Tribolium castaneum: one gene and its partners. The protein of the gene in region 3 binds, or shares a complex with, the protein of the main gene of each other region. Links are inferred from orthologs where the notes say so. Each region holds a gene or a part of one and is shown on either strand. Other genes may lie near its edges.

Evidence for each region.
Region 1: Rtf1 (region 3) and hyx share a complex: the UniProt entries of both Caenorhabditis elegans proteins name them as parts of the PAF1 complex. The link is inferred for Tribolium castaneum from reciprocal best matches to the Caenorhabditis elegans genes rtfo-1 and cdc-73.
Region 2: Rtf1 (region 3) and atms share a complex: the UniProt entries of both Caenorhabditis elegans proteins name them as parts of the PAF1 complex. The link is inferred for Tribolium castaneum from reciprocal best matches to the Caenorhabditis elegans genes rtfo-1 and pafo-1.

Annotation. Positions count from the first base shown.
Region 1 is NC_087400.1:8,948,253-8,956,528, forward strand, and holds the start of hyx (parafibromin), read right to left. Parts: upstream 4,837-8,276; 5' UTR 4,796-4,836; coding exon 4,665-4,795; intron 4,581-4,664; coding exon 4,355-4,580; intron 4,302-4,354; coding exon 4,156-4,301; intron 4,102-4,155; coding exon 3,888-4,101; intron 1-3,887. UniProt on the Caenorhabditis elegans protein: Component of the PAF1 complex which is a multifunctional complex involved in transcription initiation via genetic interactions with TATA-binding proteins, elongation and transcription-coupled histone modification.
Region 2 is NC_087397.1:9,417,672-9,426,149, forward strand, and holds atms (RNA polymerase II-associated factor 1 homolog), read right to left. Parts: upstream 4,683-8,478; 5' UTR 4,561-4,682; coding exon 4,493-4,560; intron 4,440-4,492; coding exon 4,347-4,439; intron 4,301-4,346; coding exon 3,728-4,300; intron 3,079-3,727; coding exon 2,645-3,078; intron 2,596-2,644; coding exon 2,225-2,595; 3' UTR 2,150-2,224; downstream 1-2,149. Other genes in the region: regulator of hypoxia-inducible factor 1, read left to right, coding at 1-190, 239-426, 1,614-1,702, 1,748-1,944, 1,989-2,149, 7,235-7,403, 7,446-7,645, 7,703-7,832 and 3 more. UniProt on the Caenorhabditis elegans protein: Component of the PAF1 complex which is a multifunctional complex involved in transcription initiation via genetic interactions with TATA-binding proteins, elongation and transcription-coupled histone modification.
Region 3 is NC_087394.1:33,111,862-33,120,215, reverse strand, and holds Rtf1 (RNA polymerase-associated protein Rtf1), read right to left. Parts: upstream 5,130-8,354; 5' UTR 5,010-5,129; coding exon 4,938-5,009; intron 4,759-4,937; coding exon 4,403-4,758; intron 4,350-4,402; coding exon 3,976-4,349; intron 3,871-3,975; coding exon 3,539-3,870; intron 2,613-3,538; coding exon 2,400-2,612; intron 2,348-2,399; coding exon 2,063-2,347; intron 2,008-2,062; coding exon 1,788-2,007; intron 483-1,787; coding exon 382-482; 3' UTR 148-381; downstream 1-147. UniProt on the Caenorhabditis elegans protein: Component of the PAF1 complex which is a multifunctional complex involved in transcription initiation via genetic interactions with TATA-binding proteins, elongation and transcription-coupled histone modification.

The DNA of each region.
Region 1 (8,276 bases), on a different chromosome or scaffold from region 3:
GTATATAATAGTAGATTGTTTAACAAGTAAAGAAAACTCATTTCTCTTACGCGTTGAACACGCACTTTTTTCGTGTACTTCACTTCACGAAAATTATGATTTTAAAAATAGAAATTGTCTTGTTCCTAATGTTCCTATTAGCAAAATTATTTATGTCAAGCATTTGTTTCCTTGTGATAAAACATCACAACCAAGTAAATAAATAATTTTCGAAAAAGCTTTCATGTAAAATAAATCAAAGCGAAAATAATGAAGAACTTCTGCAATTGGCAGCAGAAGCGGTGTCAGGTTAGTACCTACAAAGTCTAAGGCAAAATACAACAGTCGTTAACATGAAAAGTGTTGCTAACAAGAAAAGTGTCACTTTTCTTAATTATTTTGGGTTAATCAATGTTATAAATTTCTATTAAGTACACGAAAAAATTGGTACTTTTCACAAATATCATAAAAATAAAAAATCAAATGCGGCAAATTCAAATTCCAGAACCACCTGAGATCCTACATTATTTTATAAACAGCCCGTATAAAGTTTATAAATAACAATTTAAGCAACATTAACAGTTATATCCACAAACAAAACACGGTCTAATTCTAAATTCAAAGAAAATCTTATCTACAATAATCGGAACAGTTAGATAGCGATCTTTCATTGAAAATAATCAACAACTGAATTTCAATAACCAAAACCTTACTTGGACATTTTCTGGGAGAAATTAATGAATTTAAAGAGCTTAATGAACTAGAAGTTTATACATAATGCTTCTGTAACATCTTCTCAAGATTAAAAAACCTGCGTATCTGTTTAATTTGTTAATTCGCAAAAGTGATATTCATAATGTCAATGTTAGAAATAATTCGTTATATTTGTATTCCTTAACATCATACAAATAAATATAAAAGCAGATTTTCATATTTTGCCCCGACATTTTACAGATGTTACCTAAGTAGTTTAGAAACAAAATTAATGATGTCTTATTGTGAAATATTGTGCAATATTTAGCAATGTTTCAATTTATACTACCAACTGTTCCCTTTTGTAAATTTATCTTTATATTTACAATAATCTTTATTTTTATTTATTTATTAAAAACGTGCATAAAAACGACAAAAAATAACAGCAAATCCGTCATAACTTAATAGTTTCCTCAATAATCTTTTTATAATTACGTCTGAAAATTCTGATAAAACGATCGAAAAAGCAAAAATTTTAATACAAAATGACTAAAATATAGGACAAATCAATTTCACTTTTAAAGGGAATTTCATAGTTTAGAATTAAGCTTGGAAAAGATGTATCGGGTGATTCAAAAATATGTGGCATAATTTTAACCACGAACACCCCTCTACAATTAAGAATAGATAGGATAGTATTTACTGATCCACACAAAAAATAGGAAAATTACAATTTTTCAGAAATTGGTATGGGAAATGGTTTTTTGAAAACATTTTTGTTACCGTTCATGCGATTATTATGAAATTTTGTATGCCAAGAGACACAAAGACGCTCTTTGATATGGTGTAAATGGAAATCTTGTAAAAGCTATACATTTCCGGTGACAAGGGGGCCCTTCCAGTTTTTAGGTGATAACTCAATTTTTCGGCCTATAAACACGTATTTTTGATATCAAAAATCAAAAGCCCAATTATTTTTTAATAAAAAAGGTACTCTTGCTTCATGTCGTCAAACTGTACCGTTCTCTAGTTATTTGGGATTAAACTAAACTCTACACTGCACTGCAGAATAGAAAAGTATAAATTTTGAGCGTACTATTACCTTGGAAACAGTTCACTACGAGTGATACAGCTGTCAATGCTGTCACATTTGATGTCAATTTCATTTAATCCAAAGTAAATTTTGATTATTTCTTGATGATAATAGTAAAAGACATGATTATGTGTTGGAAGAAATAAACTCCAAATTGCTGGTTTTATCAATACTTCACTACTTGCATTATAAAACTATAATCCAAATGAAGAATTAAAACGATCAGAGACCAAAACACAACCTCAACTGTAACAAATCACAAAATAAAATCTTATCAACTATTTGTAATGCCATTGTTGCAATTTTTCTTTAATAGGAAGTTAATTTGATCCACAAAAGAATAATGCACGGCTTAATGTTTATTTACATTTTTGAAAATTACAAGAGCTTCGACAACAATGAGCACAAAAGCAACAAATGCCGCCAGCGTGCTAATTGGCGCCAGTGCTATTTTTCATAAGCGCGAATATCAAAGAAAATATGAATGATGAAGTCAATGTTCTTTTTTTAAACAACAATAACCTGGATCATTTTTTTAACTAGATTTACCAGTATGGGCTGATCAGGGCATCATTTCCAAATACTAAAAGAATTTTTTTATCGTTATGACTTCATGATTTGTTTTTCGCGCTTACGAAAAATACCACAGGCGCCAGCTAGCGCGCTAGCGGCATTTGTTGCTTTCATGCTTATTGTTGTTGAAGTTCTTGTAATTTTTAAAAATGTAAATAAACGTTAAACCGTGCGTTATTCTTTGCAGGTTTCAACAACCTGTGGATTAAATTAACTTACTATTAAAGAAAAATTGCAATAGTGGCATTACAAATAGTTGATAAGATTTTATTTTGTGATTTGTTACAGTTGAGGTTGTGTTTTGGTCTCTGATTGTTTTAATCCTTTATTTGGGTTATAGATAGTTTTATAATGCAAGTATTGAAATATTGATAAAAACAGCGATTTGGAGGGATAATCGTTTTCTGGTGGTGTGGCATCAGATCAAGTTGTGATGCCGGGACGGCTACCGCTAGCTCATAGATTATTTCTTCCAACACATAATCGTGTCTTTAACTATTATCATCAAGAAATAATCAAACTTTACTTTAGATTAAATGAAATTGACATCAAATGTGACAGCAATGACAGCTGTGTCATTCTTAGTAGACAGTTTCCAAGGTAATGGTACGCTCAAAATTTATACTTTTTTATTCTGCACTGCGGTATAGAGTTTAGTTTAATCCCAAATAACTCGAGAACGGTACATTTTGGCGATATGAAGCAAGAGTTCCTTTTTTATTAAAAAATAATTGAGCTTTTGATTTTTGATATCAAAAATACGTGTTTATAGGCCGAAAAATTGAGTTACCACCTAAAAACTGGAAGGGCCCCCTTGTCACCGAAAATGTATAGCTTTTACAAGATTTCCATTTACACCATATCATAGAGCGTCTTTGTGTCTCTTGGCATACAAAATTTCATAATAATCGCATGAACGGTAACAAAAATGTTTTCAAAAAACCATTTCCCATACCAATTTCTGAAAAATTGTAATTTTCCTATTTTTTGTGTGGGTCAGTAAATACTATCCTATCTATTCTTAATTTTAGAGGGGTATTCGTGGTTAAAATTATGCCACATATTTTTGAATCACCCGATATTTTTGACAAGATTTTGATTTAACAACTGGTCACAAAGGCTCAAAAAGATAACAAATCGTGTCGTTTTCGGCATAATTTAGTATTCTTTGTTCCCACCAAACAACAACTTGGAAATAATAGGATTGAACTTTCAGTCAAAAAATAGCATTGTTTTCTATTGGCGCTTAAAAATGTGCGTAATACCCGAAAGGGGGGTAAATAACATTCTTTTAGTCAAAAAAACTGCCTTTTTAGTGCTTAAACGGGTATAAAAATAACATCCAACATAATTTGGTAGTCTTTCCGGCTTATTTTTGAATTGCGTTCATGGCTGGAAAATGCTTGAAAAAGATTTTCTGGCTCTGTTTTGCGAAATCTGACTAAACTAAACCTCTAAATAAAAATAAAAAACAATGCAGTTTAGTGATAAGATCTTATTAGTTTATCGAACTTAAAATTAAAATTGCAAGAATTTGCCAAATTCTTACCTTGCCATTAGATTGCAGAATTGTAGTTCTGGTCCTCCACTGTCTCTCACGACTGATAATGTCTTTGGTCAAGTCCACATCCAAGTCAAGAATAGCCCGAATGTCGTACTCTTGCCCTATATCATCATTGCCTTTAATTGTGGTTCGTTTCTTTGCCAAACGCTTGGCTTTAATCGCTGCAATTTTTTCCACAGACATGGCTTCAGACAATGATCTAGAAATCGTCAGTTAAAAATTGTTTCTCATTTGTAGAAAGCAAGTAAATTACTTGATATTATCAACAGTGACTGAAGCCTCTTTAGGGGCATCGAGTCGGGCGGCCAACTTCTCCCTAACTTTTTGCACATGCAAGTCCTCAAACCGGGGCTTTTTTGCAATACTTTCAGGCCCTTCATAGTCAGCAGATCTTTTGACCTACAAAGAAATAATTGTACATAAAAAGCCGCGTTTTCACACAAAAAACAAACCTGTGTGGGTATTTCAAGAGGAGCACTTTTATCAATCGCAGGACAACTCGCCGTTTCGCCATTTAGATAAGCCAAGAGTTCCTTTCTGTCAGGTCTTCTCACTACTGGTATATTCTCAGCAGCGGCTTGTCGCACATATACAGGATGAGTCAGTGATACATTTTTCAAAATAAACAACAAACATTCCAACGTGTAGTATTCCTTAGGGGTTCCGTCTTTGCCAGAACTAGAAATTTTTCATTGCATTTTGAGGTTAGCTTGTCAACAGATGGAAGGGTGGGTTGCGGAGGCGGCTTGGAACGGTACTTACCCCCACATTAAATAATTGGTTTTCACATTTTTCGGCCAGGAAAATTCCCCGAATATTATCTGGCCTTCGCGTTCGATTATTTCTTTTTTATTCACATTATATTGGCGAAGCAAACTCAAAGGGTCCGCCATTTTTGTTTACTGCACTACTTTTGAGCCCAATGCTGCCACCAGTCGACACCTGAAAAACTTTATCCCAAGCTGCTGTTTTATTAGTTGCATACATTTATTAAAATAAATCGAACATTGAAATACTGAAAAATGGCTTATTCGTATGAAATTAGCATTTAATAAAACCATGTGGGTGTGAAGTACGAAGGACTATAACATAAAAGACGGAACAACACAAAAAATTGCAGGATTTTCTGAAATCAAAAAAATAGTACGGCGGAGAAAAAATGAGGGCGCTTCGAGCGTTATGCCCACTGGGCATCAAATCGTTTTAAATTAATTTAATAAATCTAACCAATTTACTAAATACAGACTGATCTAGAAATACTGAGTTTGTTAGCAACAGATTTGAAAGTATTTATGCTTGTACTTTGCAAAATTGTAACCGAATTCGATTTTTTTGACAATTATTTGACGTACAGCCCCATAAGAACATTACATTGTTGTTAACAGGAAGCGTAGTCCATTGGTATCCTTAAAAATTTAAGTTCAGTGTTGCCAACAGACTCAGTATTTCTGGATCAGTCTGTACTTGGAAAAACATGCATAAATGTTAAGTTTTGTCTTCTTAACACACTGAAAAAAAAATGACGACAAAAATTTTCATAAGAAACTTGAAAAAAAAAATTTTTAATTTAAAATCTATCTGCGCTTTATCCCGTATTTTTCAAGACGCTACGAATATGGACACAGTTATAAGAAAAATGTTACAAAAAAATTTGTAGAGAATTAAATTTTCTTTAAAAAGAGTCCGCGAGACCATATCTTTATCAACGGTTTAGACCCTAAAGACGTTCAAAGATGCTGACGACGAATTCGTTTTATTTTACCGGTGTTCAAGTAACAGACAGTTAATTTTTAACTAAACTACAAAAGGAACTTTGTTCTTTACATCTTTTTTTGTATCTTCAACCGTATTTCCAGCGTTTTGATGAAGTTGAAAACATTAGTTGCATATTTATAGAAATTCAGAAATAACCCACTATTGACTCACCCTGTTGACTCTGCATAGGTAATTGAAAAAAGTGAAAAAGTGGCTCACTACATAAAACTTATTAAAACATTAAAGCAAAACTGTTACTTCCATAAAATCTGGGTAATTATTAACAAATTATTAATTAAAATTTAAAAAAATAGATGTCTTAACATAAGATAACTATAAAGTAAAATATTTATCCAAAAAGCATTTATTCAATATGAAGTTTTGTTTCTAAATATACAAAAAAGTAAACAATTAGGTATTAACAACACTATACTTTAGACTTTAAAAATTATAGAATTTACATTACATCACATTACGAAGACAAAATTGTTGAATGTTAGTTTATCTAATTTTAAGATGCCACAAAATAAATTAACATTTTTTTTTTAATTTTTTTTATTGTAATTCCTAAAATCCCTAAAATTAAAGAGATTGAAAATCGTTTAAAATTTATTTTATTATAATAATAATCTCTAAAATAGTCTTCATTTTTGTTAATAAATACCTAATTATGAATTAAAAAAGCAAATCGAAATCAGGAAAACATCTTATTCTCCGTATTCATTTTGTATTTATTTTATTTTGACTTTATTCCAATTTTTTATTTTTTTAATGGTAATTAACATACATATTTCTAGTGTATTTAATAATAGGTACATTTTTTTATTGCTTCATCTTTCTGATAAAATTACTTAGTACAATAAAAAGTAAAACCTACCTCAGAATAACGGACACCTCTTTAGAACGGACATTTTGTAGGAACGTATCAAAACTATTGCAAAATAATTTAAAAAAAAACTGGCTGCAACGGACCCTCTGTATAGCGGACGTGGACGTGGATAAACAAAAAATTGTTTATTTTTTTCAATGTTTTAGTTTTAATTTCAAAAGTTTTTTTGTTAAAACACATATATATCTAACAATAACAAAAAATTTAAGATCAAAACGTTGACTGTTATAAATCTTATACAGTTATCAACATGATCAAAAAATTGAAAGAATTAAATTCACTTAAAGCTATACAAAACTTATTTAACCTATTTAATATACATACTTAAGTTATACAAGAAATCTGCTTCTAGTAAAATATTTTCTGTAAAATATACTTTTGCTGCTGATTTAAATTTGATTAGATATGTTTGGTAGATTAAATGATGCTCTTTTTGAATTATGTGGTTACTTTGTCTCATTCCTGTCACAGTTACAGCCATTTGATTTTTATTAAAAAAAGAATATATATTTATTTACATTAACATTGTCCACTTCTTATTAGTAGACACCTCTCCACAACAGACAATTAAAGATTCCCCATCGGTGTCCATTGCTGAGAGGTTTTACTGTACTATGTATTTTTACGTCTCAAATTACATATTGGCTGTTTCAAAAGTACTCGTATGTAAAGACCAACGTCGCATTTTTCCAAATATTTTTTAATAAGGAAGATAAAAATGTAAAATAGTTATTAATGATTAGATCTTTCATTGAAACTATAAATTACATTAACTGTTAATTTGTTGAACCACTAACTTTAAGAGAAAGTGCTATATTTTTCTATAATTCGTATAAGTTAAACTAAAATTTATTAAATAATAAATCACTGCAAGAACATTTAATATTTATATTTTTTATACATCCACACAAAGTAATTAATTAAGGCCCAGTTTCCCGTAACATAAATGACGTAAAGAAAAATTTAAACCGCAGTTAAATATAACAACACCAATCTTATAAACTTATAAACCTTAGCAACTAACGGAGCGATCAAATTTAACTTACTTAATAATCATGCCAGAAACTGGGCCTTTGAGAAATTTGAAACTTCAAATACACGTAATTTAGAAGCATGTTACAATTTTATTAAGAATTGTTTACTCAAAACATCATCCGTGTTTTTTAGAATAACATTAGAAATAACCAAATTCCGATTAATTAAGTTAATTAAGTATTAAAAAATTAATCAAAATTTAATGGTTTCTAGTGTAATACAATTGTTGGTAGCTTCAAAATGAGAACGTATAGAATAACTTGAAATTGTTTTTTGTAGAAGACACTAATTACATAATTGTATTTTCTTAATTTTATCTCTTATTGAAAAAATTTACAAAAAAAAACAGATTTTACTTTTCTAGTACCATAATTTGTTGCTGCTGTTCTTACCTTCGCTCGCACCAGCTCCCATGACCAACCCATGCAACACCTAATCACTGTCAATGTTATTCAATCATTCCCACAGACCTGCTACAGGCAACGTAGACTTATGATTTATGGCTGTAAAAATCAATCACCAGTTGCTTAACCAAACACAATTCTACGAATTATTCAAAACGTGTCGAATTTTGACAGGACCATATGGACCGGATGGTTCATACACATACCATCCAGACAATCGTCCAATTAGACAACCGTTAAGACCAATGATAAATTATAACAGTGTCAAGGGAAATCTCACTTTCTACAATC
Region 2 (8,478 bases), on a different chromosome or scaffold from region 3:
AGCCAAAATACCGTCCGGAATTTTGAACGGCAATATCGTACAATATGGCGATTTTAACGAATGTATGGGGGTTAAAACGGCCCAATATTGTCTCGCTGAAATTGATTTTGGAGCACTGTGGAACGAATCCTACTCCGAGTACAGGGATTTAGTGCAGTCTTTTAATTTCTTTAAGGACACGTTTGATGCTGTAAGCTATCCAAGGGCTGGGTTTAGACAAGTGATAATTTGCTTATAGCCCGCTCATAGAGTTCCTGGTTTCACTATGGCCCGTTGGGGATTTTGTATACCCCAGGAATGTTCAGCAGAAGATTTAGAAAAATCGCTAAGTGCAAATTTTGGGGTTTTGGCCCAAATTAGGCCAGGAATGTGCCAAAAAGCAACAAAAGAGAGTAAAGATTTAACCAGAGGGGACTACATTGCCAGGTACATTCACCTAAAATGAAAATGACGTCTATGACCGATACCATAAATAAATCAACAGTTTTTCATTACATTTTGTTTAAAATATTGAACAAAAATGCAAATGAATTAATTTTTTAGACTATTCTTTGGCTTACTCGTGACAATTTTTACCGAAAAAAAACGTGATAATAAACAAAAAAATTGAAAAAATGTTTTTGAGTTTTGAGCCATTTATAGGTGATTTTTCAGTTCGGTTTATTTAGCCAAGAAACTGAATAACTGAAATGAATTTCAAATTGGCTGAAATAACAAAATTAATATTAATTCCCATCAGTTCATTTTAACAAAATTTTTCGAAAGAACTTAGTTTTTACCTCAACAATAAGTCTCGAACAAGACTTAACATCTACATTTTAATGCAAATGGGTGACTTTTCGGTTTGTTTTTAATGAAATTTTGCAAAACAATTACGTTTCTAACCAAGAAACGTGCTCAAAAGAAGGCAAAGATACAATAATTTTGGGTCTAAATTTGTGCTTTTTTATTCTCTTTTAGTGAGATTACAGAAAAAAACAGATTTTAGGTCTACAATGCGGTGAAAGTCCAAGAAAGACAGAAAGAAGATTACTTTTAATCAAAATTTATTACAAGTTTTTATACAATATCTCTTGTTGAGATAATCAATTTTCACGTCTCTGCTGCAGCCAGTTTTCTAAAAAAAAACTTTGTTTTTATATCAAAAATGTGTTTAAAAATTTTAAAATCGCACAATTCACATAGCTTTTAATTTTTTTTTTATTTTGAGTGATTACTTTACTGGTTGTAAACCATATGAAATCACATTATTTTAATAATAATGTAAACATTTGTTTAGTGCTAGAAGATATAAAACCAGTAGTTTTTTACTCTTTCTCAGAAGAAATATGCTTGAAAAATATAAAATTACACATTTTTTACGTAACTTTATAGTTCTTTGGCTTATTTTTGAAAAAAAATCGCTCAAAAACGACCAAAATCGAGCGAAACAAATCATATAAAGCTTCAGCTGCAAGGCTCACTTATGGACGCGTCATTTTCATTTTGGGTGGCTGTATCTTTTGCAGTTAATTGTTTTTATAAAACACATTGTAGATGCAGATAAACAATTAGTTTAAGTAATTTCATTGATGTTTATTAGTCTAATACGAATCGATATTTATTATTTCCAGATTATTTTTTATTTGTGTCGTTCTATTAGTGGTTTCGTCAACTTTGGTCGATTATTATAGAGACGGTAAAGGCGTTGCGCACACAAATGGTAATTTCTTGTCTCGATTACAATTTTTTTATTAGTTAATTACAGGAATATTCATGAAAATACTGCAGTGTTTTTCATTGCGCGAAAACGTGTCAAAATTTTTCGAAGTGAAAGAAAACGATCGCAGCGAAATAGCTGGCTTACACGGCATTCGTTTCCTCAATGCTTTGGCTTTACTCATGTCCCATAAAAGCGTTTCGCTATTTTTCAACCCTTATATGAACCGAACAGCTGCAGTTGATGTAAATAAAACCACGTCAAAAATTTTCTTTACCTACTTTTGCAGAGAGTGAGCCGACCTTGGACAATTATTGCAAAAAACGCGATTGTTTATACAGATGTCTTCATGCTTATAAGTGGATTACTAAACGCGAACGCTTTACTTACCGACTTACACAATGGCCGTGCGATGAAATTCAAGGAAAAATTAATCAACAGGATATTCAGGTATTGTTTATTAAACCATATTTACATCTAAATCCAATAAACAATGACTTGACACTTAAATAAAACGTTAGTGGTTCAATCACTGTCCGACTTGCTGCCGGATTCGGATCCAGATCGGGATCCGGATCTTGACCGCGATCCGGATCTGGATCTGGACGGTGATTTACTCCGTGATTTGGAACGTGATGGTGATCGTGATTTGGATCCGGATCTGGATCGTGACGGCGATTTGGAAGGAGATCGCGATCCGGAAGCCGAGCGTGAACGTGATCTGGATCTAGACGCAGATTTTGATCTGGATCTTGACCGCGATTTGGATCTGGATCTTGATCGCGATTTGGATCTGGATCTGGACCGTGAGGGAGATTTAGACTGTGATCGGGATCTAGACGGAGATCTTGAACGTGACGGTGATTTGGATCTTGACGATTCCGCGTCGCTTTCTTCTAAAAAATACAATTAATACAAATTTTAAAATCAAATACGAAAAATTACTTTCGTTTTCTTGTGGTTCTTCGTTTTGTTCCATTTCCATTTCTTCGTCTTCATCGCCTGCAGGTTCGAGTTGTTTTTCGCGGTATCTTTGCATTCGGAATTCGTTCGCATCCATTGGTCGGTGTTTGACGATAAGACGGGTGTTGCTGGCAGGTTGGCCAACTTTCTGGCGACGTTTACTCAATCTGACACGGGTTTCTAGCTCATTATAGTAGGCACCATCTTGTCTGATTACGAAGAAGTAATTTTCTTCGTAACCTTTGCTTGCTTTACTCTTCACGTTCCAGTTGTATTCTCTTGCCATTTTATACTCATATTCTTCATCGTCTTGGTATGGTATCTCGTTAGCAAAGTCTTCCCGTCTTTTAACTAGAGTCTCTTCAGTTGGGAGGAAGTAGGCGACGAATTGTTCGCCACGTTCGTCCATCACACCTCTGAAAAAAAAATTATCACACAAAGTTATTACTTGATCTTTAAACTGTTTTTCTCAAAACGTGTAAAATGCGACATTCATTGTTTTTCCATCGTATTCTTAACTTATTAATAACATATTGGACTAACTTATTTTTAATTTTAATTAATTAAAATTAAAATTCAGTTTAGTAAATAAATATTTCTGGTTGAGTAAAAAAAGTTAATAGTCTAAACGATGGAGGATTTTAAATATGCTAGAGGATTTTAAAGTTGTTGGCATGTTGTCCTTGTGATAAAATGACAATGATAAAAAATTTGAATAACACTCATACGAAGACCCTTAAAGTTCTCGCATACGCTCGTTGCATAACGACAGCCCTCGAACTTTAAACTTGTGTTTTCGCTCTAGTATTATTAATAACTATTACATAATTCAATTTTAATAGCAAGTTTTGTAGCAAATTTAATTTTATAATTCTTTCTTTCATCTTCTTTTTTTCACAGCGGTTTGAAAAATATGGAACAGAGCACATTTTTTGATATATTTTTTTAACTTGTAAAGAATTTGATGCCCAACGTTCCTGCTTTTTTTGCAAAACAATTTACAGCCGTATCATTAATTTTTTTTGGGTACAGAAAATAGCTTCTTAGTCAAAATTTAATTCTTACCTGATCATAGCTTGTGACATTTCCTCAATCTGCGCGGGCACTTGTTTACCAACAGGCGCTGGATCTGAATCAAAAATAACCTGAGCACATGGATATTTCCACAGATTGAAATCGGGAAACACTGGCAATACTTCAACAGCAGTCACATTCGGCTTGCTGTAATGCTTTTCAATCGGATTCGTTGTATCACTGAACGTTTTCTCAATAGCCTTGATTTGTGAATCACGGTCCATGTACAATGTTTCATTCTTCAAATTCTTCTTAATACTGTAGCCAACTTTCGCTTCGACTTTATCCATACTTTGTGGCTGGAATCGAGTCTGTTCTGTTGAAATGTATTCAGTCCTGCGAAGCCAAGAGACAGATCTTGCATGGTGTCTGGACCTTTTCGAGTCTTGAGGTGTTAGGATATCTTCTTCTAGGAGTTTCTCATCAGCTGGATCAAGCATAGCACCTGGTTCCACAGCGTAAATATCTTTGTTAATCAAGTCAATGGCAACGCCCAAATCATGTTCAGTGAGCACTTCATACCGATAATTTCTCTCCAACGAGGTTGGATTAAATTGTATAAACCTGAAACAACACATCAGGCGACCACAAACATTTAAAACAGCCCTACCTTGATGAATCAAACGGGTATGAGATAAATTTCAAATCAAACGGGATATCAGGCAGCGTGTTGCAATATTTCACCCTGCATATCAAGTCGGACCTAAAACAGCCCCATTTTTAACCTGTTTGTTAAAATTTCATAACCATATTCACTTTTTTTCTGCTGGTTTAACAGGCCGTTTTTCTTGCGTGGAAGTTCCATTTTGTATCGTTGGAGGCATTGTAAAATATACACCAAATTTTCTAACTTAATAAAAATATTTTCAAGCTATTTCAATAAATTTACAACTTATACACGCACAGTTGTCAAAACATACGAAACAGTGTCGCCAGGTGAAATTGTTTGTAATCCCTAGATGTTTATTCAAAAGTCCCTACATTGCAGTTTCCACTTAGGTGTATATTGGGTTGCATAAGCAACAAAAGTATATTTAATTTTTTTTAATTTAACAATTATAATATCTACTATAAATAATATAATAAATAAAACATAATTTACATATTATTAATAACAATAATATACTCCAAAATAAATTAATTACACAATATTTAATTAATATAACAGTAAATGGTAGAAAACTCCTAGAACTAAAATTCGTATATAATAAATAATAATAATAAGATTAAAAAGAAAGTAAACAATTAATTACACTTATTATTAACTAACTACTTTAAATAATTTTACTGCAGATATAAAAAAATTAACATTTTAGATATATTGCGTTGTTCATTTTTTTAATAAAGCGGAATCAATTTTACAGTTAAAACAACTCTCATCTTTCGTAACATTTTTAAATGCAAATTATTAATACTTCTTAATGTTTCTACTAAAAGTTTATTTGCAATTTTTGATTTTATTTAAATCTTTTGTAGAAATTTTTTTTTCTACTGCTACGCTTGAATGAGGAAGGCAAATAATTTCTGAAATATGTTACGTTTGGAAAATCCACCCTGACTTAGAAGGGCGGGTCAGGGTGTAATTTTAATGCCCTTAACGGCGTCAGAGTGAACGGCTGACGTCGGAGCGTCAATGTTCCTGTTCCTTCTGTGATGTCCGCTTTTTTGTCAACCTTACAAAGAAATGTTTTTTTTCTTCCTTATATGTGGCTCGGTGCGTCCCGCATTCAGTTGTGGGCAAACTTGAATGTCGCAGCCTTTTAGTGCCCACTGTCCTGAAAATGTTTCTGGTTAAAACCGTAGGTTGGTACCTTGATAACTTAGTTGGGAAAATCGTCGGAAATGCTATCCGTTAGGGCCGGATAGCCTCCTTATTTCCTTTTGCCTGCCCTAGGGGTTCCCATGTGGGCTATGGGGGCCTTAGTTTAATTGCCCATGTCATTGTTTACATTTTCTTATCTGTTTTGAATTTGAATCTAACCTGTAATTGTCAATCTTAGTTACCTTTCTAAACTCCCTAGTTTTCCTCTTATCTTCTGTTTAGCGCGTAAATTTTAAATTTTCGTTTCCGTTTCACTTTTTTTCTGAGTCTCGTTCTTTAAAACTCCGAACGGAAATCGTTCTAGCACTTTTGTCCTAGCTCCGTTGTGGGAGTCATCTCGAGTGAGCAGATTTTAGATCATCTCACATTATTGTGGAGATTTGCGGTCATCGAGTGTGAAAATTTAAGTATCGTATGGAGTGATTCGTTGTGAGTGCAGCTTCACTAAGATTTTCGTGGTAAATGCTCGCACCATCGCCGTAGCCGAATAGTCGGATTCGCAGGACAAAATTCTTTTGCTAACACGAGGAAGCCGCCCAACATCAAAGGTACCGAATTGATTCTGATGAGCCCTTTTCTTTGTTTTCTTGGTTCAGTGTGTATTTCGATTTAAAGGCTTCAAATTGGGGGGGAGTAAAACCTTCGAGGGGACCTAACATCCCATCATCTCTCGTTCCGGACGTGGTCCTTCGCCGTTATCACCAAACCCGCCATCTGCGAGGTCAACAGCTACCTCTGAGGGAGCCCCTCATCGAAAAGACGGTCAGGCAAGCCTTTGTTAATTACGGACGCGCCGGAACCCCCTAACCTCGAGCCTTTTTGCTGTCTCGTGTGTTCTCTTTCTTCCAATTTTTTTTGTTTGATCGCCTCACGATCAAAGGTAATATTGCTGATCTCATTTTGTAATTTAATATATATAATTTCGTTGTAAATCGTCTCTGGACATATCGGTTGGTAGATTCGGTTATTAATTTTGCGCTTATCGATATCAGTCACAAAACATAGATCTATGAGTTTGCGGCCGACAAAGAATAATATTCCGAGCACGTGATCGGTATAAGAGAATCACTTTTCTCCTGTCTACTTGTCCAGCGTAGATAGAATAGTATTTTTTATTTCTTTAATAATTTTTAATTTCCTACATTTTTTAAATCTTTGTTATATAATATTTTAATCCATTAAAATTTAATTTCGGGGAAACCCCTTTTTCTTTCCTTTCTTTTTTTTTCCCCTCTAGTTGGGGTTATACAACTAGTGGCGCCCAATAACTTCGGTTTATAGTTCTTTGTGATCACCCACGCCCAACACCCAGAGCCGGCTGGCACCAACTTGTGTTACTTAGGTAACAATAAATTTTGACAGAACTGGAAATATTTACAACTGATTAGCAAAATGAGAAATTTTATATTTTTGCCCAAAATACGTTAACACTAAGATTTTTTAAATTATCAAAGTCAATATTTCTTAATTGTCATCATTCCCTGTTCTTAAATGATTTAACTTATTTTCAGAACTTAAATTTGGAAAATGTCATATTTCATTAAAATGATATCTTCTGCTCTAATTACTTATTGGTAACCGTTTTAAAATGTTTGAGTCAAATCTTTAAAAAAAAAATTAAAATAATAAAAAATCCCTAGCACCTGCGCAGAAGTTCCAATTTAATTTTTTTTCAGAATTCTTCCAAACGTAATTGCCCTAATTTTATTTTGTACGTACATATTACCCTTGATGGGCTCCGGGCCGTTATGGCCTGTCGTCGTCGATCACCATTCAACACTATGCAAGCAGCACATGTGGAAGAATATTTTTTTCATCCACAATTACTTCGGTTTTGAAAATATGGTAAATACCACATTATTGCTAAACGTGTACTTAACTAAACAGTTTCAGTGTTTGACTCACACGCACCAGCTAGGTATTGACATGCAGCTGTTTTTAGTTACACCAGTTTTTGTTTATTTGATCTGGACATTTAAACGAATTGGATTATTCTTTATGGGAGTTGTGGCCCTACTTTCAACAATACTTAGATTTTGGGTTTCGTACGAACATGAATTGACGAGCGTCGTTTACTTCGGCATCTCGTAATGAAACACTTGCTTATATTTAGGAAAATTATGGAACAATATTTTTTATTTCAGAGTTTCAAAAATGTTTTCAGTGGCTAGTTTATCATACATTTTACCAACTCATCGAGCAACTATTTATTTAATAGGTGTTTACCTGGCTTATTTATTAAAATGTTCTAAACCAAACACTTCTTTCACTAAGGTACTTGACGTATACGTTTCGTTAAGTAATTATTTAATGAAATTTTTAGTGGCAAGTTGCATTTTTGTGGTGCTTTTTCCTACCAATGTTTCTCGGTGCTTGGCTAGGACCGTACCATATGGTCACAAAAGACTATGTTTATGATAAATTGGAAGCCTCGTATGTGCTTGCTTTATATCCGATTTTTTGGGGCTCCAGTGTAGCATTTGGAATTTATGCCATAAATAGAGATATTGCAGGTTGTTCACAAATTAAAACAAATGCGGTTCAGAAACTATTCTTTTAGGCTGGTTGGGAACGTTGTTTAATTGGAAATATTTTCAAATTTCAACAAAACTGGCTTACGCCTTGTATTTGGTGCAATTTCCAATTTTTTTCTATAATGTGGGGTTGACAAAACATGTTGACGAATACCGCACATATTTACAAGTAAGTTATAATTTATTAAATGTCTTTGAAAACATCGTGTCTTTTAGCTTGAGGTTGTTGAAACCATAGTTATCATATTGTGTTCCTTTTTGCTTGTTCTTTTGATTGAAATGCCGTTTCAAAACATTAAAAAAGTATTATTTGATCAACCGAAAAGACGTGACCAACACCAACATATGCGCTTGAAGGACTTTAAAAGTGGTTAACTGTTAAGTTT
Region 3 (8,354 bases):
TCTTATCGAAAAGGACCTTATCAGGGGATTTTACTACATTTGAACACCTTTTCACATGGTCAATGCTGCGGCACGGTTCTATTGATATTGCCTTTTTTGGTAGCATTGAGTCATTCTGGGTGATTTGCAAAATGAAAGGATCAACAATTAAATGAAATTCCTTGTTTGTCTATTATTTCAAATTTGTGAAACAATTCGTAATCACAAACAGATCTAACAACAGGCTACAAAAGTACAGAATTAATTCATTCCTTAAAAATCACTGTAAAATTATAACGCGTTTCCAAATAAAATGAAACTTAATTAACAATAAAAAATGTTTAAGTGTAACATTTAAGGTCTAAAATTTATTTTGTTAAAAATATAATAAATTAATAAATACTATATAAGTCCTCTCTTCTTCTTGTAGTCTTGCAAGTTCAAGCTTCGTCTCGGAGCAAGGTCCTTTGTTACTGTTTTGGGTGTAACGTTTACGCTAGCCACTGAAAATTACATATTAGAAAAAATCCAATTAAATACCATGCTATGACTACGAATTTGAAATTAAGTTGGCAACACCAAATTAGTAACTAATTATTTCCAATTTTAATTGAACAAAAGTTATTTCAAGCTAATGATAATTTAAATAAAAACTTGTAAAAGATTTCTTTAATTTCTGTTAACCAGTTTTTTGTTTGAAGGAATTGGGAAGCAAATATAAAGTAAGCTCATGAAATTAACTGGAACTCAACTAGTCTTTTAAAACTTTAAATACCTACTATGAAACTTTTACTCCCTCTGAAATTTATTCTTCTTCTCTGAACTAATTTTAAAATAGAAAAAAAAAACCGAAAATGTTTAAAAAGTATTTGCACATATTTTAACATAAGGAAAATTGTAGAGTGTAAAATACTGACATAAGAAAAAACTTTGTAATCGTTGAATACCTTATACCAAATTATATCTTCATAACATATTATTGCTTTGTTTTTTACACCATTCGTTCAGAACGATTTGTTTTTGTGGTAATTGAATCAAGACATGAACTAATTAACTAATTAATTAAGATTAATAATTAAGAAATAAAAGATGAAAAATTCAGATTCATCTCTAAAGAATTGTTGATTTCTTGCGACAACACGACTAAAAATAAAACGTCCACGCCAAAGTTTATGATTCATAGTTTTACCGCCCCCTATTTTCGTAGTTAAAGACAGAGAAAGGGTGTTAAAGGACAAAATTGTAGAAAATTCAGTTGTCTTTAAACAAGTCCGGAGATAATATATTTCTATCTTCAACCTTTAGGTTTAAAATGTCTTGTAAAATGTTTCTTCGGCACTAAATGACCGGTCACAAAAAACGAAACAATCACTTGAACGGCTATAATCGTCTTTGAAGACTAAACAGTTTACGATAGAGTCTCATTAATTTGTAGGTAATTTAATTCTTTAATTCTTTTCTTTTTTTAAATTTATTTTTACATTTTTCTTGAACGTGTATCTTTAAAGTATTTGCAGCTTTCTGAAAAATATGGAAGGAATTTTTATTGGCCTAGTATCTGTTTCTTTAATTAATCAAACACAAACTCTCTACCTTATTTTTAAAAGCGATGGAAAAAAAATTTTGATTATTTGAATTCGTCAAGTGAAAAATAATTTATATTTTTGGAAGACTGTCCATAAGGTTGTTATTGAGCGATTGTTTCGATTGTCCATCGAACAATTCGAAAAACTACTGTTTCTAAAACATCAGTAGTTGTGATAATAGTATTGCCAACGTAATTTCAAAATGATGGCAATAACTAGTACCTGGTAAAGGAACATCTAAGTCAATTTTAATATCAAAGTCATGAGCTGAGAAGAGATCGTCCTGAGTAACTTGAGCCGGCTGCGCTGCTACTTTCGGGTTTTCCACTTCCACTGCAACCTTCTCTGGCTTTTTCTCAACCACTACTTCGGCTTTCTCTTCAGGAGCTGCCTTGAAATTCATTCTTGGTTTTGTCGAGCGTCTTGTGAACGGGTCATCGATCTAATAGTCACAAATTGTAAAATAAAAAATATTGCGAAATCTAATCGAATCAAACCTTTTTGCCTTTGTTTGCTTTAACTTCGGCCATAATCGCCTTTTCGGCCTCTTCAACGTTGCGTTTCCTGTTCCGGTCGTTGATGTATGAAATACTTGAAATGGTCGATGTTCTCATTTTGTCCAACTCTGACGCCCTTTCTTCCAAATCAGAGATCCTTTGGGTTAATTCTCTCGCCAAATCTTCAGCCCCGCGAGCCAGGGCTGAGTCTCTTTCTTTCATTAGTTGGGTTTTGCGCATTGCATAATTGTGGGGGTTTGGCTTGAACCGCTCTTTTTCGCGTATCTAACAACAGAAAGTTACAAGGACCCAAAATAAATTGTTGGGTTTTATTTACAATTCGTTCAATATCCTGTTCGTTAAATTCGTAATTTAAGGCTTCTTTTATGTCGGCTTGTTTCTGTTCAATGTGTTCTTTTGTGGGTAAAGGATTACTAGCAGCTGTGCTGGCCTCTATCCACTTGTGATACTCAGTCTCGGTGAATTCTTGATTGGATACAAATTCTAGGCGGAAAACTCGCTCCTGATTTCCGTGTCGTACACGCAATCCCTAACAGCAACATTCAAATGTTAACATGGAAGTATTTTACAAAAAACTTAGATATTATATTTTTTTAGTTTTTCCGAAGAATTAATTCTGTCTTTTGTTTTTCGTATTTGAAGCAGTTTTGTATTTGTATATTTTTTTTGTAGTAAATTTATAAATATATTTATAAGATAAATTTTGCTACATTGGTTTTTCTTGAATTCAATGCTCAAAAACTCACTATCAATTGAAAGAGTTAGGAAACATAAACACAGGAAATCAGCGATTTAAAAAATAAAAAAAATAATTTAGAGACAAATAATGAATATAATGATTTGCCGATTGTGAATGAAAATCGTGCTTGAAAACATTCAAGGATAGTAAGAGTAAAAATATTTCATTGACTGTTTATAACAAATTTTCACCAAATTCCGGGCACTGTGTAGTTAAAATTTGTGAATACGTACTATTTATAAAAGAAAATTGAAAAAAAGAAGCAAAAGTGACTTCATAACTTCCAACTTTTTATTTTGAAAACTTAATTGTAAAGAAGTATTTTTTATGCAACTACCTTAGGTTTATCTTTTAGTTTTATGAATCTCTCATATATCCGCATTGTTAAATTAAAATATTAAAAAGAATAAAGACTTTGTGACCCGATCATAGATCAAAAATATTCGTAGTAACTTTAAGCGCTTAAAGATATAATCCACCTTGGAAAATTTACCAAGATAGTTAACTAACTTCGTAAATACGTCTGACACAAGCTGTGTTTATAAGAACAAATAAATCAATTTTCAAACGTGTATCAGCTTCTAAAGAAAATTTAAAATTTGTAAGATACTGTTGCTTTAAGTTTATATGAATAAAATATTCGCAAAACCTATTAGAAAAAGTATTTCCGGAATTATCATTTTGCTATTGTACCCGTTAAGGTAATTAACAAGTACCTTGTTTGTTCTGGTGTTTCCCAAATTGTAAATCTTGGCAGTTTCATAAACATTTGTGACTTCGGCCACCCGATAAACAGGCATATTATTATGTTGCCCAATACCGATTTTTACGTAACATCCTTTAACAATACGATCAAAGAACGGCATATGTACAAATCTTTCTAATTTATGTCTCGACAACCGAATATTATTCATGTCAAGTTTCGTAGGTACATAAGCGGGTTTTTCCTCTTCTTCTTGTTCATTATCACTCGAACTTGAACTAGACGAAGAGCGGGATCTGACAGACCCCACAGATTGTCTTGGTGGCTGAGGTGAACTTTTACCTCCTGTAAAAAACCTAAATTTACAAAACAAAAAAACATTATTAAACGAAAAGTTACAGAAGAGTCAAAAAACGGTAAAACGAAAGTGGCAATTTTGAGTTGAATTACCTTCACTTTCGCTGTCATCTGAATAAATATCTGACGCCTTTAACTTTACGTTGCTCTTGTTTGTGTGCAGAGCGTCTTCCTCTTCCTTCTTCCTCTGTTCTTCCTTGCGTTTTTCTTCGGCTTCTTCCCGCTTTTGCTTGTCTTCTCTTCTGGCTTTGAGTTCGGCCATGGCGTTGACACGTTTGTCAACTTTGCCGCGATTTTCCTCAATGTTTTTCTTCCGCTCTTTGCTACGTTCCTTGTGGTCTATTGAACTGAAATCGGTTTGGAGTTTACTGTGGTCCCTGCTCTTCTCTTTGTCTTTGTGCTTGTGAGGTTTCTCCCGTGCCCTTTCCGCTTTCTTCGCCTGTCTCAACTTTTTCTCAATCTCAAATCTGTACAAAGCATGATTTAACAAAAATTTAACAATTCTTACACAAAAACGTACCGCGTTTTCATCAATTCTCGTTGCTCGATTCTTTTGAAAATTTCCGTTTCTCGTTCTTTCTCAGTTAAACTGGCTAAGCGGGCTCTGTCTTCTTCATCGCCCATAAGTTGGTCGTCATACCCGTCGTTATATTCTTCATCAGATATTGAAGAGTCTGAGACTTCACCTTCCTCAGGCTCTGAGTTATTTTTCGCCTCCTCTTTCTTTTCAAATTCGGAGTCAGAGGACTCATCTCGTTTGGGTTTCTTGTTATTTCGACCCTCATCACTGTCAGATTTGCCCTCGTATTCCGAATCCGAGTTAGACCTTGGCGATTTCTTCTTCCTGTTCTTTTTCTTCGCCAAATTCAAAAATTCCTATGGCCAAAAAACAACTCAACAACTATTCAAAAATAGCTCCAACTAGCGCGTAATTAAGCCAAACAACAACTGTGGCAGTTCAATCAATATTTATACAAAAAAATAGTGAATTGAGGATGAAAATTGAAATTGTGTGATAGAGGTTAGAATTTTTTCGGATGGAAAATTGCACTTACAGAGTCCAAATCGCTAGTTGAATCATTGCTCGAATCACTGTCAATCAAAGCTTGATTTTTGCGTTTTCCCATCTTGGGATTTCAAACTGGATGATCAATTTTGCTTCAGAAATTTAAATTAAATCAAAATCCAACAACACAACCACTAACTGCCACCACCATTACTATTTTTCATTTCTTTCTGTTCCTTTTTCAAGCGCTTCAGTCATGTGCAACCGAAAATTCACTGCGCAGAATCGGGCGCTCTATCGAATAGTTTTTATATCGAAAATGTCAACACTTCGTTTTATGTAATTTTGTATAAAATAACACACTTTAATTAATAAATTAAATTGATTCATTGTTTGCTTTACTGGCTTTTATGTTATTTACGCTTGTTGCGGTTAAATGTGGCCAAAAGTTGGTAAAACGAAGAGAAATTGTGGCCGAAATTTCGCTCACCCGAATGCTGGATATTTCCCGCCAAAAATTAACAAAAAATTTTTTGTTGTTGTAAAAATGTTTAATTACCTTTGATTTAACTTTTTAATTACCTAATTATGATGCACAACAGCTACTTTTGGAAATAGTGGTTCAAGTTTTGTGCAACATTTTCAAAAAAAAAAAATTTTAATTTAAAATTTACGCATTGTTTGTACTACGGTTGAGGATACAAAAAAAGTGTAAAAAACAGAGATGTAGAAAATTAATTTTTCTACAAAAAAAGTTGGCGACATCATATTTCTATCTGCAATGTTTAACTATAAATTAACTTTGCAATACTTGATCTCCGGTTTATGAAGCAAATCCCTTGCTTGAGCGACTTTGAAAATCTTTTAAAACAAGGATATGGTCTCGCTTAGATATATCTTTATCTTATTTTATCTTTAGTTTTGCCTTAAAGTCAAGTTAAAAAAAATGTTAAAAAAAAGTGTGAGACTGTTGTATGCCTAGAAGCTTAAGATTTAACTAAAATCATTAAATTTTACTGTTTTTTTTTAATATTGTTGAAGATATTAAGTTACTATTTATAGTTTTAAAACAGTGACAAAGGTTATAATTATAACTTATAATTTACCACTGAACTTTTTTCATGATAAATTTTTGGAAAAAGTGTATAACTGGTTGCTTTTTATTGTTGATATTTTTTGTTGATGCAAAATATTATTTTTTTAATAAATTTGTGTAATCAGAAAGGCGTATTTTTTTACAAACGTAAAGATAATTCTTTAAGCAATGAACTAATGGACTATTTTGAAAAGAGTAAATGGTCTTTTGCTCTTGGCGCCTTTTTTCGAACTCGTAGTGGATCAAATCGGCGCACTTTTTCGCTCATGCGCGCAGTAGATTAGATGTCAGACTAACTGACAAACGTTAATTTAGTTCAATGGATTGTCCCCGTGTTGTTTAGTTGGATTTGATGTTGTGCAAAAATGTGGTTGTCAAACAAAACATGGACTTTCAACGTTAGGATATTTCACACGACAAATCATGACCGAGTCATTTGAGGAGTGAGTACAATATTTAACCCTCAATTATGGGGATGGGCTATGGGGATGTTAAGTCGGCCATCATTTTCTTACTGATCATATTTGGAAGGAAACCGAGTCAATTGCTGGCCAAACGAGTGCAAGCACACAATTTCTCTCAATCTGCTTATTCAATTCACATTGCCTTATCTGTTGATGTCATAACTTATACATGATCATTCATTGTAAAGTAATCAATGGTTCCATTCATACTTGCACTGTTCATGAATGTTTACTTGGGATACGTTGTATCGGGTACGTTCACTTCGCAATTTATTTTTGTAATAGTTTTCCACACCCACACGTCTATTACAAAAACTAATGAATGAAAGGCTGCGCTCGGAGGGCCCACAGCCTGCATAATCTCCACCGAAACTATTTCCCACTCGAACCGACTTATTTTTAAAACCAGCATCCAAATGATTACTTTCTCATAATCAGGGAACCGTTTTGCATCCGTACTTTATCTCATTTACCGCAAGATACGTAACTGCACAATTATCCAAGGGCGGAAAGGTGCTCATTCTCTCCTACTCATGTTACTTTTTAATTTGATGAATGAAATACTACCACTGAACCAAAATAGTAAGTGCCACTTATCTTATCTGTGTTTATTTACTTTTAATTACTGAATGAGCCGCCAAACCCGCAAAGTTAATATTTTAAATTGGATAACACTCCAACATTAACCATACAGTAGCCTGCTTGCTTGCCCGGGATTTTCTAATATTTCTCTACTGCGAATTCCCCAGTTGATGAGTCCATAAACATTGGGTTCAAAATCCGAATTCATTCACCAAACGATAAGCTGCAGATCTTTCCCAGACTGAATTCACAAAATTCGTTTATCAAATTCTGCTAATAACAATAACAAGAAACAATCTTAAATATGAACAAATACCTTCTTCATTTGTATGATAAACATAAGAACATTTTCAAAATCTACAGATTGTCACAGCTAAAACTTTATTGTTAATAAACAACATTTATGGTAACGTTATAGCAATAAACTAAATAATATTCGTAAAATGCGAGTACTTTTGCTGTCTTATCTCTTTAAACTATTTTGTAAGCTGATAGATTACCTCACTAAATAAAGAAAACGTTTATTTTTTGCACAAACAGTAACGGGATTTGTATAATAATTACCTAATTATTAATTTAAAAACTTTTGCTTTGTTTTAAATGTTACATCAACATGAAATTTTTTTGTTAGATTTTCTAACCCATTATGATTTGGTTTGTGGTTGGAGAGCTAAATTACTTTTGGAATTTTTTTATTTGATTTTCTGAAAAAGAACAACTCTTTACGGTAGTTTCTGAATGGATAGTTCTTTTTGAGAAAAAGGAAGAGATTGGTATTTACTCGTATTTTAGTTAATTTATCCTAAAAAAAAGCAGGCTGCAACAATTTCCAAAATTTGTCAAAATGTTGAAAAAACTTCTAATTTCGACATTGTTTGACTAATTTGTACCAAAGTTAAGCAATAAAGCCTACTTTAAACAGGAATTAAGTATTAGTAAAATTTTATTCTTTCGATTATTCCGACCTAATTCAACAGGACTTTCTAAGAAAATACACTTTATGTTGATGATAGCATCTTTACTTTTGCAAAATCAGACTTAGAGACTAAATACATGGGAAAATCAATTGGTTAGACTTTGGAATAATTACAAAAAATGTCTGTTTTTATGAACCTCACGTATTATCGTGCTGCATGCTTTAGATCCTGTTTTTTCTACAATTTTTACATACAAATAGCTATTTTTATTGTGATTAATTTTATTTTATTAGTTACGTCTTTCAAACATTTGTTAGAATAAAAAGCTGTGGAAGGTGTTATTGAAAAGTTATTCCTCACCACTGGACAGAATTTTCTATGGTTTCTATGTTTGTCACCACATTTGC